3 linked regions of the Macaca fascicularis genome follow. The protein of the gene in region 1 interacts with the protein of each later gene in a biochemical or structural test. Links are inferred from orthologs where the notes say so. Each region holds a gene or a part of one and is shown in the gene's direction. Other genes may lie near its edges. The genes, in order: BIRC3, RIPK2 and UBE2V1.

Evidence for each region.
Region 2: the proteins of BIRC3 (region 1) and RIPK2 form a complex in vitro, tested with the Homo sapiens proteins (2 studies listed by BioGRID, with this or other methods). The link is inferred for Macaca fascicularis from reciprocal best matches to the Homo sapiens genes BIRC3 and RIPK2.
Region 3: the proteins of BIRC3 (region 1) and UBE2V1 form a complex in vitro, tested with the Homo sapiens proteins (2 studies listed by BioGRID). The link is inferred for Macaca fascicularis from reciprocal best matches to the Homo sapiens genes BIRC3 and UBE2V1.

Annotation. Positions count from the first base shown.
Region 1 is NC_088388.1:101,326,874-101,331,061, forward strand, and holds the start of BIRC3 (baculoviral IAP repeat-containing protein 3), read left to right. Parts: upstream 1-1,248; 5' UTR 1,249-1,335; intron 1,336-4,188. UniProt on the Homo sapiens protein: Multi-functional protein which regulates not only caspases and apoptosis, but also modulates inflammatory signaling and immunity, mitogenic kinase signaling and cell proliferation, as well as cell invasion and metastasis.
Region 2 is NC_088382.1:99,457,549-99,461,672, forward strand, and holds the start of RIPK2 (receptor-interacting serine/threonine-protein kinase 2), read left to right. Parts: upstream 1-1,313; 5' UTR 1,314-1,623; coding exon 1,624-1,796; intron 1,797-4,124.
Region 3 is NC_088384.1:106,186,023-106,189,668, reverse strand, and holds part of UBE2V1 (ubiquitin-conjugating enzyme E2 variant 1), read left to right. Parts: intron 1-87; exon of another isoform or gene 88-195; intron 196-2,004; coding exon 2,005-2,153; exon of another isoform or gene 2,154-2,340; coding exon of another isoform or gene 2,341-2,343; intron 2,344-2,555; coding exon of another isoform or gene 2,556-2,579; exon of another isoform or gene 2,580-3,378; intron 3,379-3,646. UniProt on the Homo sapiens protein: Has no ubiquitin ligase activity on its own. The UBE2V1-UBE2N heterodimer catalyzes the synthesis of non-canonical poly-ubiquitin chains that are linked through Lys-63.

The DNA of each region.
Region 1 (4,188 bases):
GCTTTTTGAAATTCTTCTGGTGAGTACATAATCAAAAATGTGTAAGGCCCACAAATTATTTTCCATAATCTCAGGAGTGAGTTGAAAATGGCTTAGAAAGTCTTGATTGAAGCAGACTCAAATGTGGATTAAAGTCTCCATATGATAAATACACTTAGTCTTTCTGAAATAATTCCAACTGGAACTTCAGTTGCTATGGACAGCCAAGTCCAGCTAAACCAGAAGATGCCTCAGCTCAGTCCATTGTGTGCAGAATGCACTGGATGCTGTTTCCACAGAATGATGAAGGACCAAATAATCTTTATGGGCTCTGCCTCTGGTTGGTAACTGTCTTTGATCTACTGGAAGACAGAAAATCAGATGAGCTCTCCCAAATCCATCTCTTACCCTGGTGTGGATGGCTCTCAGATAAAGTTGCTTAAAGTTACTACTTAGATTACGTTGAGGAAAATATGGCAGTGCAGTTAGACTCGAAGATGTCAGGTTTCCCTGAGAATGGCACTGCAACTCAGACACCTGCCCTGTGAAATCAAAGGCTATAAAGGAGGGATTTTTTTAAGTAGCCAACTCCACCATACTTATTAAAAAAAAAACAACCCAAAACTCACCAAACAAAACAAAAAGTATTTCAATACAGAAAATTAATAAAGCAATTTCAATCTTTAAAATGGTAAAAATAAACTGCAAAGGAGAACTGCATGATTTTTTTCACATACCCCTACATTTCCTTTCACCTCTTACTTTCTTGATCAGAACAAAAAGTAAAAATAAATAGAAAGATTTCACAAAGTTTCGAATTTTTTTTTTTAATGCTGGACTTCTGCAGCTATAGTAGAAGATTGAAAACCCGAACCTTTTTACGTGTAAAGTGTATGGCAGATGGAGGGTGAATAGGGCATATTGACCTTTTCCAGGCAGGCTGAGCAATGACCGTCCTCTCTGTATGGGTTGTTATCAAGATTTCCTCTGGCCCACGAGCAATGAAGCAAATGTCTTTCAGTAAATGCCGCGCAGATAGGCCACGGTTAAAAGTCATGCTTTTGGGTCATGGAAATCCCCGAGCGGGTTTGCCAGGCCACTGATTAAGAGGAAGTGTCTGTGGTTATTACCCCTGGAGTTCCCCTAAGTCCTAAAAGGAAAGCACCAGTGCACATGCAAACCACTGGGAGGAGTGCGGAACGCCTGCTACGGGTAGGGGTGGGGATTTGGGTGACGCATTTAAAGGACAGCGTGAGACTCGCGCCCTCCGCACGGAACAGGCCGGGCGACAGGTGTCGCTTGAAAAGACTGGGCTTGTCCTTGCTGGTGCATGCGTCGTCGGCCTCTAGGCAGCAGGTGGGCGAGGAAGGCTGGGGTGTGCGTGCGTGTGTGTGTGTGTGTGTGTGCGCGCGGGCAGCAGGTGGGCGAGGAAGGCTGCTGTGTGCTTGTGTGTTTGTGTGTGTGCGTGCGCGCGCGCGCCTCCCCTGGGGTAAGAGGTGTGCCAGCGGGTGGCCGAGGGGTGCTCAGGGCTAGAGCGCTGCAGAGGTTGAGAGTCAGTGGGTGGGGCGCAGTTATCAAACGTCAGGGCCCAAAGGCAGGCTCTAGATAGGTTCCAGGTGCTCAATTTCTATTTTACCTTTGGAGTGAGCCAGTGGAATTGTGCAGCTGTGTCATTTTGATTCGGTTGCCAAGAGTTATCACTGGGCCTTTGCAGGTGCCAAATAAATTTCAGGACCGAGCCTAACACAGAGCTCTGGCACAGGAAGGAAGTAAAGTGTTTAATGAGCAAATGGAGGCATGTTTCCAACCTGTGGTAGGAAGACAGCAGTTTTTGGTTGTCTTCCTGGTGATCAGCATGGAAACCCAGAAGTGCTCTTACTCTGATCAATACAGTGTCGAAGGCATGTACCTGATGCTAACGTAACAATAATATTAACTATTGACTTTATTTGCTATTATGTATTGCTAACATTAAGTACTGCTACCTGCTATATGCTAGGTTTCTCTCTGAAGAATTTACATGTATTTTTCACGTTTAATTATCATAATCTTAAGGAGCAGAATTATCTCCATTTGACAGTGAGGAAACTGAGGCTCTTGGAGATTTACTTGTGCAACGTCATGCTTCTGGTTACCGGGCTGCTTGGTACTGAGCACCCCAGATGTCTGACTCCAAAGCCTGATCCTAATCAATCACTGAGTAGACTCTGTGGTCATTAATGTAAAATTGATAGAAGTACTGTGGTCACTCGGGGCTTAGTCACATTTGCTAACATTTATTTCTTCAACGGGAAGTCTTTGTGTCTACCCTGTATGCCAAGCTCTGCAGATGCTATGAGTGGGAGGGCAGGTACAGAGATGAAACATATTAATAGCTGCGGTTCTAAAATACCTTACTGTCTAGGGGGAGGCAGAAAGAAAAGGCACACTTGCCCTCCAGTGTCATAGAAATGGATGTGCCGCGTGCCCAAAGGGTAGGGATGCCCAACAGCCCTGGGATTGGGGAGGTTGCTTTCTTGGTAGGTTAAATGGAAGAGTCAGAAGACGAAAGGTTGGGGACTGAGCCAATCTGAGAAGGAGCCACTAGAAATGAAAGAAGAATCCCAAGAGCTTGGTATCAGAGAAGCCCAGGGAATGGGACATTTCTAAGAGGAAGTGTGCCCCAATGTCAGATGCAAACATTTCCATTTGTTTTGGCAAAAAAACCATTGGTGTTATTAATACTGAGAGCAGTTTTAAGTGATGCTGACTTAATGAGTAAATGGGAGAGGGAAAATGGAGACATTAACCGTACACACATGTCCAGTTTGCTTGGCTATGAAGGGAAGGGGCGATACAGGGTAGTTGCTACAGTGGGAAGTGGGGTTGAAAGGGGATTTTTTTTTTTTTTTTTTTTAGACAGAGTCTCACTGTGTCACCCAGGCTGGAGTACAGTGGCGCAGTCTCAGCTCACTGCAACCTCTGCCTCCTGGGTTCAAGCGATTCTCCTTCCTCAGCCTCCCAAGTAGTTGGTAGTAAAGGTGCACGCCACCATGCCTGGCTAATTTTTTGCATTTCTTTTTAGTAGAGATGGGGTTTCACCGTGTTAGCCAGGATGGCCTTGATCTCCTGACCTTGTGATCCACCCGCCTCAGCCTCCTGAAGCGCTGGCATTACAGGCATGAGCCACCGCACCTGGCCGAAAGAGAATTTTAAAAATTTCTTTCATTTGAGAGTTGAGATAGATTTAAGCATGGTTGTTATGTGGAAGGAAAAGGGCCAGTTGAGAGTGAGAGGAATGAGAGTTGAAGCAATGAGGGAGATGGGATTAAGAACAAGATTTCTGAGGCAGTAGGAGAGTTTAGGATCCCATAAGGGGGCAAGTCTTTAACTGAGGCAGCAAGTAGGTTGTGAGCCAAAAAGACTTGGATATGAGAATGTGAGGCGGTTCCTGCTCAATGATATCTCTTTTCTTTGAGAAATAGAAGGCAAAGCAATGGACTGAAAATGAGATGGAGTGCAGTGGAGAAATCTGAGGAAGGTGTTGAAGGTTTAGAAGGGTGCATAGGGCAGTGGGCTAGGGGGCTGAGCAGGGCGAAAAGGAATTGCTAAGGGGTGGCAAAGGAGTCTTAAGTGATGCTGGTCCCAGTCTGCAGGGCTGCATCTAGGTGTTGGAAATTGTTAGGACAGAGGCTGAAGTGATCTGGGGTTGACATCTTGGCATATTTTTGTATATTTATTGTATAGTTGTTGCCTGAATTTCCACAAATATATACCTTGCTGGAGTGCAGTGGCATGATCTTGGCTCACTGCAACCTCCACCTTCTGGGTTCAAGTGATTCTCCTACCTCAGTCTCCTGAGTAGCTGGAACTACAGGTGCGTGCCACCACACCTGACGAATTTTTTTTGTATTTTTAGTAGAGATAGGGTTTCACCATGTTGGCCAGCCTGGTCTCAAACTCCTGATCTCAAGTCATCTGCTTGCCTTGGCCTCCCAAAGTGCTGGGATTACAGGCATGAGCCACCACGCCTGACCTAAAGCTTCTTTAGGATAAGATTTGTGTAAGGGGTTTGCAAACTCAAATGGAGGTGATATAAATGAGAAAAACTCTGAGTCTCTCTTTTTCTTTTTTCTTTCTTTCTTTCTTTTTTTTTAATTTTTATTTTTTGAGACAGGGTCTTGCTCTGCACACCCAGGCTGGAGTGCAGTGATGCGGTCTCACACTGCA
Region 2 (4,124 bases), on another chromosome or scaffold:
TGAGATCGCGCCACTACACTCTAGCCTAGGTGGCAGAGCAAGACTCCCTCTCGAAAAGAAAAAAAACAAAAAAAAGTGTATTAAGCAAGAAAGCACAGAGCATCAGACCATATATTTAGTGCTGAACATTTTATTATAAATGATCAAAAATTTTTAACACACTATCGTTTACAACCTTCCACTATTGTAAAACCTAACATTGCTACTTTCATTTCAGGTAATGCAAAAATACGAGACGCATTAGCTGTCTGTAGGCAGAAATCTGCTCGAGTCATTCCTGATTACTGAAGCCCTAGAATTAATTAAACATCTAGTATGGACTTGGTATTGTATATAACATTTGCACTCATATCTTACAAAATAGTCACCTAAGTAGAAAGGTGTTCAAAGCAGCAAGATGGAAATCGTTTGCAGTCTTTTTTGGTTGGCATGAAACACTGACTGCATTCCTCCCAGATTTATAAGAAAGAATTATTTGCAGTCTTACCTGGAGTCAGAGGGATGGACACTCTCAAGGTTATTTTTCACTCTCTGCATATATATACTTACGGAAGTAAGAAAGAAGAGGGAGAAAGGCAGATCCCACATAACAGCGGTTAAACACCTCAACTTGCTCCACTATGACAGGGTTTATCATCCATCTCTCAGTCCTGAAGTGACTGGAAATATGGAAATTGGAGTCCAGGTAGACAGGTGAGAGTACAACCTCTTAAGTGTGGGGCCCTCGGAATTCACAATACCCCCAAATCGCTTCCTGCGCAGGCGGAGAGTCGGGAGGGAGTCAGAAAGCAGAACCCCGAGCCCCCTAAGAAAGACCCCAGCCGGACGCTGCAGCTACCGGGATTGGCAACTTCCGGAAGACCTGTGGCCCAGAGAATTTTGGCGGTCGGGGTGAGGGTGAGGGTGAGGGTGAGGGTGGGGGGTGGGGGAGGAGTGAGGGGAGGGGTGGGGTGGGGGTGGGGTGGGGGTGGGGGGAGGGGTGGGGGGAGGGGTGGGGGGAGGGGTGGGGGGAGGGGGTTGGCGGCTAACCAATCCGACACCCGCCAGCAGGCTGAAGAGAGGGGCTTCCCAAAAGCAAAACTTTCCCAAACCTGGGGGATGGGAAGAGAAGACAAAAGGAGCGCCTCTGGCTCCCTTTCCCACTTCCCGGCCGCCCGCCCCAGCCCTCGGCCTCGGCTGCGCGACCCGGGCGGAGGATCCCGGTCGCAGGCCGAGGCGAGAGCCAGGCGGAAGGGCCGCGAGCGGGCTGCCCCTCTCCCCGCCTTGCTGTCCGCAGCTGACGTAGCCTGCGAAGTTTGGGGAGGGAGGAGCTCAGGCGGCCTGAGCTGGTGGCGGCGCGCGCCGGGGAGGGCCGGCCGGGGCGGCGAGAGAGGAAGCTCCTTCGCGGCGCTACGGCGTTGGCACTAGTCTCTAGAAAAGAAGTCAGCTCTGGTTCGGAGAAGCAGCGGCTGGCGTGGGCCGCCCGGGGAATGGGCGCCCTCGTGACCTAGTGTCGCGGGGCAAAAAGGGTCTTGCCGGCCTCGCTAGTGCAGGGGCGGATCTGGGCTCCCGAGCGCGGCGGGGGAGCCTTGGGAGCCGCCGCAGCAGGGGGCACAACTGGAACCGGCCTGAGCGCCCGGGACCATGAACGGGGAGGCCATCTGCAGCGCCCTGCCCACCATTCCCTACCACAAGCTCGCCGACCTGCGCTACCTGAGCCGCGGCGCCTCGGGCACTGTGTCGTCCGCCCGCCACGCAGACTGGCGCGTCCAGGTGGCCGTGAAGCACCTGCACATCCACACCCCTCTGCTCGACAGGTAGGCAGCCAATGGGGTTCCCGGGAAGAGCCCCCAACTATCCTGCATCCCCTCAAGCCCCCTGACAAGCGGGCTCTAGAGCCCAAATGGCAGTGACCGCTTGGGGCCGGCCCCACCTCGTCACCTCTAGGCAGCCCTTCAAGCTTGGGAGGTAGGGAGCACCGACCCTTCAAGCTCTGGCACGGTAGGGAGCACGCACTTCTCTGGAGATGCAGCAGTTGCATTCCTCCACGCATCTCTCCATTTCCCTTTCTCTCCTTCCCTCTTACTCCTAAGCGTTCTCTCTCCGTACTCCAAAAATCAGCAATCACTGCCAAACTCTAAACGCCGGGTTTATTGAAATTGGTGTGTGTTTATATGGAGTGGGTGTGGGTTTTGCTTGCTTTGTTTTTTCCTTATTTTTGAAATCGGGCTGTAGGGCTGCAGTGTCCAGTAGGCAGCCCTTAGCCACAGGTGAGTACTGAGCACTTGAAATGTGCCCGTCCGAATTGAAATGTGACCTAAGTGTAAAATACCAGAGTTCGAATGCTTAGTATTTATTTTTAAAAACTTGTAATATTTTATTAATATTTGTTTATTGATTATATGCTGAAATGATAATATTTTTGATATCTTGGGTTAAATATAAGATTAAAATTCATTTTAATGTGTTTCTTTTTACTTTATGTGGCCATGAGAAAATTTTAAATTGTATGTGGTAGATTTCACATTCTATGTTTATTGGACAGAGCTGCTTTAGAATCTACGATGTTTTGCTTTTTATTGCTTTTGTTTTGGTTGTGGTTTATTATGTGTTATCAGGAACGTTTTATATCAAACTCAATACAATTCAGTTTCTCCCACTCTCAGTTTCTCTCACGGGAAGATCGTTAAGTAGAGGAAATGTGTGCTATTTTTGCCACAGTAAATTGAACCAAAAGACTGTTAAATGGCCAGAAATTGTAAATGGCTTTCACTTACTGGTTTGTACAGGTTTTAAGGGAAGGTTAACATTAGTTTCTGTTTTCAGAAGAACATTACAACCACGTGCCATAGACCTGTAACTGTGTATTAGTCAATGGGTCTGGTCACTAGTCTTGTGTATTTTACTTCCTACAGGGATTTAACTAGGCCCAGCATTCAGTTCTTAGTGAGTTAACATCCATGATTACAACATTCTCTTCTCCTCCTCCTATATCTAATGTGAAAATACGTCATCACAGACGCCTGATTGGCCAGAAGCTGTATCCAGTATCAGATAGATTCCTCAGCTTCTGCCCTGCCAAAGTTACTGGATTTTCACCTACCTGTGACTTTTCTTCATTGTCTCACTGTCAGGCTTGGATGGCCTAAATGGCACAGGAGATCTGGGACACCTCTAGAGCTTGTTTCCACTTCTTTTCTATCATAATCCAGATTCAGTGATATACAAGGTGTGGTGTCTGTTTACTCTGGGCCTTATGTTCTGTGGCGCAAGTGCTGGGCAAGTGTGTATATGTGTCTGTAGTCAACTTTTAAGGGTGGTGGTTGGTTAGAGAGGATGGATATATGTTAGAACCAGTTATGCAAACACTGTATGGAAATATAGCACTGATGGACCCAATAGGTATTGAAAAGCCAATTGATCCTCCCACTTTGGGTGCTGCTTCTCAGGATTTTAGTTTATCTAAGCTTTGTACAGTTTGGGGACCAAGAAGTGAAGAGGGAGTTTCTTTCCCATGCTCATGAACAATTTTCATAGTCTAAAATTCTTCACTGAATTGGGTAGGAAATTAATTCTGTCTTCGAGGAAGCCATAAGACCAGTGAAACACTCTGGCATTACTGCATCACATTCTTTTTTCCAATTTGTTACTTAAGATCTTATCAGTGCAGTATTTATGTAGTCTGAGCATTAGACAAGGCTATGCAGTTGACTCACTGGTGTCTCTTTCCTCACTTATAAAATAGGAATAATAAATACATGTGTGTCTCGGGCTATGGAGAAGAATGTTTGCATTGTTCTTTGGGATGACCTGAAAGAAAAATTTATGCAATGTTACATGCCCTTATTTTAATGATTGGTGAATCAGTCTCCATAATCTGACTTCTGTCCGATGAGTGGACCTTCCCCAACAATCTTCCCACCCCTTATGAGTAATGAGTCCAATTGGTTGTTCAAATACCCTGTAGATGACGTAACTTTTTTATTAAATTTTTGAGTTAATTTTGGTGATGTGACTATAGAAGCTGTATTTTACGCCTTTATTTTCAAAATATAAAAATCAATTTTTACAATCTCTTGGCTTTTAAAAAAAATTTCCTACTCACTCAATCTTGCCAAAAATCTATCTTCAAGAACTGTCCAACT
Region 3 (3,646 bases), on another chromosome or scaffold:
GGATCATTAAAGATTTAGATTGAACCCTTTCTGAACAACAGTTGTGTTGTCTGACTTTTTGCCTGTAATGTCACCACTGTCTTTCAGTTTTATGTTTGCTAGAGAAGACTCAGTCCCGGGTAGCTGAATAATCCAGTTGGCTGCTGTGCAGATGAAAATGCCAGTGTTTTCCAAACAAACAGTTCAAGTATGCTTGTAGGTTTTGCTGTTTCCTTTCAAATACCATATGTAGTATTATTTAACATTTTTTTGTAATCAACTGACTCTTTTGCTTACATTTATTTTAAAGGAAACTTTTACCATTGTTATGGATGGGAAGTTAGTATATTACTTACCCTAAATAAATTATTCTTAAACATAAATACATGACTGTAAAACGAAGTGTTCAATCACATACCACCTAAAGTCCTCTAACGTACCACTACAACTCCGTCTTTCAGCTGCTTGGACCAAAAACCCAGGAGCTGTAGTTGACTCTTGTTTCTCACACCTCACAGGCAACCTGATAGCAAATCTCCACAGCTCAGACCTCTCAAATGCCTAGAATTACGCCGCTCCTCACTACTTTCCTGCTATCACCCTGGTCCAAGCCGGTATTACCTTTTGCTAGGACTATTGCAGTATCCCCCTAGCTGTTTCTGCTCTTGCTCCCTTCACTCTTGTCCTCACACAGCAGTCTGAGGGACAGATCATGTCACGCAGTAACAGTTGGCATCCTTAATCTCCTCTTGCTGTCTCATCCCTCACTTGGTTTAAGCTAAATTGGCCTCCTTGCTGTCCTTTGACACCTTAAGCAAGCCTCTGTTTTAGGGCCTTTGCACTTGTTTGCTCTGTCTCAAAGACTTTCCCCTCAGCTATCCATAAATCATGCCCTGTCACCTTCTTCAAGTCTTTAGTTATGACACCTGATTGCAATAACACTTTTCCTCGATCACTCCATTTGAAAGTATTGCCCCTCCCCTATTACTCCCTGCTCCAGAACAGCAGAATCTATCATACTGTATAATTTACATATTGATTTTTGTCCATTATATGTCTCCTACTAGAATGTAAGCTGCAGGCATTTTTGTTTTATTCACTGCTTGTTCTTCAGTGCTTAGAAAAGTGCCTGATGTATAATAGGTGCTCAAATATTTATTCCAATTAAATTAATGGCATGTGTCCTACACTTTGGGAGATGCATATACTGGCAACACCTCCCACAATTTGGGGTCCCTCAAGTGAGCCTCTCTTCACAGTCACATGGTTAGTCCTATTTGTCTCTTGAGAGTCTGGCCAATATTCTGTTCTGGAAGACATCTAGAAATGGCTCAAATCTCAGCCTGAACCCGGTACTGTGTCTTGAACCTCTGAGATGTTTTCATGTGTTGCTTTCAAGAGCTACTTGCCAGGCTTTGGGATTTTTGGGAAAAAATTAGAGAGCCAGCTATTCCCTTTTACCTTTTTTGTAAGTTAAAAGAGAAACTATCGTTTAAATAATTGAAAAACAATAGAACATTTTATCCTTGGTGCCTTCAATTGACTCTTAGTTGACTAAGAGGACACCATTTTTATTTGCCATATCCATGGCGACTATTCCTCCTAAAGGTTGTTTGAGAGTCATGCCAACAAATAAGCATAGTCTCAGCCTCTTGTCTTCCAAGGTACTTTTGTTAGCACTTGATATTGATGGTTTTCATCTCACACTAGTTAACCCCAATTCATCGACATTTAGACATGTAAGCCCCTTATAAGGTTTGTCCGAGGGGTGGGGGTGGGGTATCTAAGTTTGGTTATCTAGCCCTAGTCACTTCACCTGTCAGAGAACCATGTGCCCCTTCCCTCTGGTTGTGCTGGTTGATACTGATAGCTTTATAAGTGGCAAGTTTGAGGTGTGATAACTTCCCATGATTTTTTTGCATGTTAGCATCTTTATTCCCAGGGAGCGATAATGAGCAGCTAGCTCTAGGCTTACAAGTTCCCCTGGAGTTGCTGGTATCTTGAATTTCTTTCCATTTATTTTAGGAGTAAAAGTCCCTCGCAATTTCCGACTGTTGGAAGAACTCGAAGAAGGCCAGAAAGGAGTAGGAGATGGCACAGTTAGCTGGGGTCTAGAAGATGACGAAGACATGACACTTACAAGATGGACAGGGATGATAATTGGGCCTCCAAGAGTAAGCGTCGAGCTACGGCTATAAATGTCAATGTCTTAAATTCACTGTGCCTCCTTTTAGAAAAATCCTAGCCTTATCACGGAAAAAAAGCTCACCAATGGTATATTTTCTGAAATGTGGCTATTCTTTTTTGACCAGTTTCAGTTTATATATTTGAACCTCCTCTGATGCTGTTTAACCCCTCTAAATGGTAAGCAAAAATCTGTTTAGACTCATAGTGTGAATTTATATGACAATGTAGACAGTAAGGTATGAGGTCATTGCACCCTCAGATGTCATTCCGAACAATCTCTGGACTAACCAAATAACTAGGCCCTAGGTATAGCCAGCATTCCTGAAGCTAGTCTCCAAATGAACTCTGGAAAGCCTTCCCAGTTGTTGTTTTTCTTCACTGTCTCCCAGGTCTGCCGTGCACCTGTATCCTAATGCCAGCCTGTCAGCTCCTGGTCTATTCCAGGCACTGCTAGACCCAGAGGCCTTTGCAAAGAAGACCAAGACAATGAGGATGGGGAAAAGTGGCCTCTTTCAGAACTTCCTGATTTGTGAGAGTTCCCAGTCTTCATAATGCCAGCCAACCATTTTTCGAGGACACATAGTAAACCCTCAGGAAATGTCTCTTAACTCTCACAAAACCCTATTGTTAGGTGCAATTGCATTCCATTTTACAGCTGAGGAGACAGACTCAGAGGAGTCAAGTCTCTTGCCCAAAGTCACATAGCTGGTAACCCCCAAATCAGATCTGACTCCAGAGCCTGTGCTCTTAACCACTGTGCTGTGGTGTCTCCCTTTTGTTTACATTTTGAGTTTTCATCTGTTACCATTATAGAAGATACTAATCAAGTAGTAACTTGATGTAGGAGTCAAGAAATCAGTTTCCATACTGTGACACACACTTCAGACAAGCAGTGAGAGCTTCTGCCTGAATGTAGCAAGACCTGTCCTGTGTCTGTGTGTGTTTAAGGGTGATGACGACGTTCATTCGTTTGATTGTGTACAGGACTTTGCACTAGCACTGTGGGAGCAGAAAGACATGCAGGGCGTGGCCCCGGCTGGAACAGGGACAAGTGACTGTTCATTACGTGTTAGGACACTAATGCTCATCTCAGATGGTCATCAACATTCATGGTGAATGATTGGCTTTACCATTTAATGTTGCTTCTTGAATCATTTTGTGACCCTGTAGTTTTGTGGAGTTTTAAAAATATATACGTTCGATCTGTTTTTACTCACTTCTTTATCCTTTTTTTCTATGAAAACTAGAATGTTCTGTGTCTGCTAAATACTGGGGAAAACCCAATCTAGAAATCCTATTTCTCCATGGAGATAATTTTCTTTACTGTCTCTGAAGGTCCATCACATGCTGACGTCTTCTTCACTGCATGTCTTCTCTTCCTAAGAATGATTTTGGTTTCTTGAGGATGAGAACTGTGCTTCCCTCCTTACTTCCCAGAATACCTAGAAATGGGGTACTCAATAGGTTTGCTAATCAACTT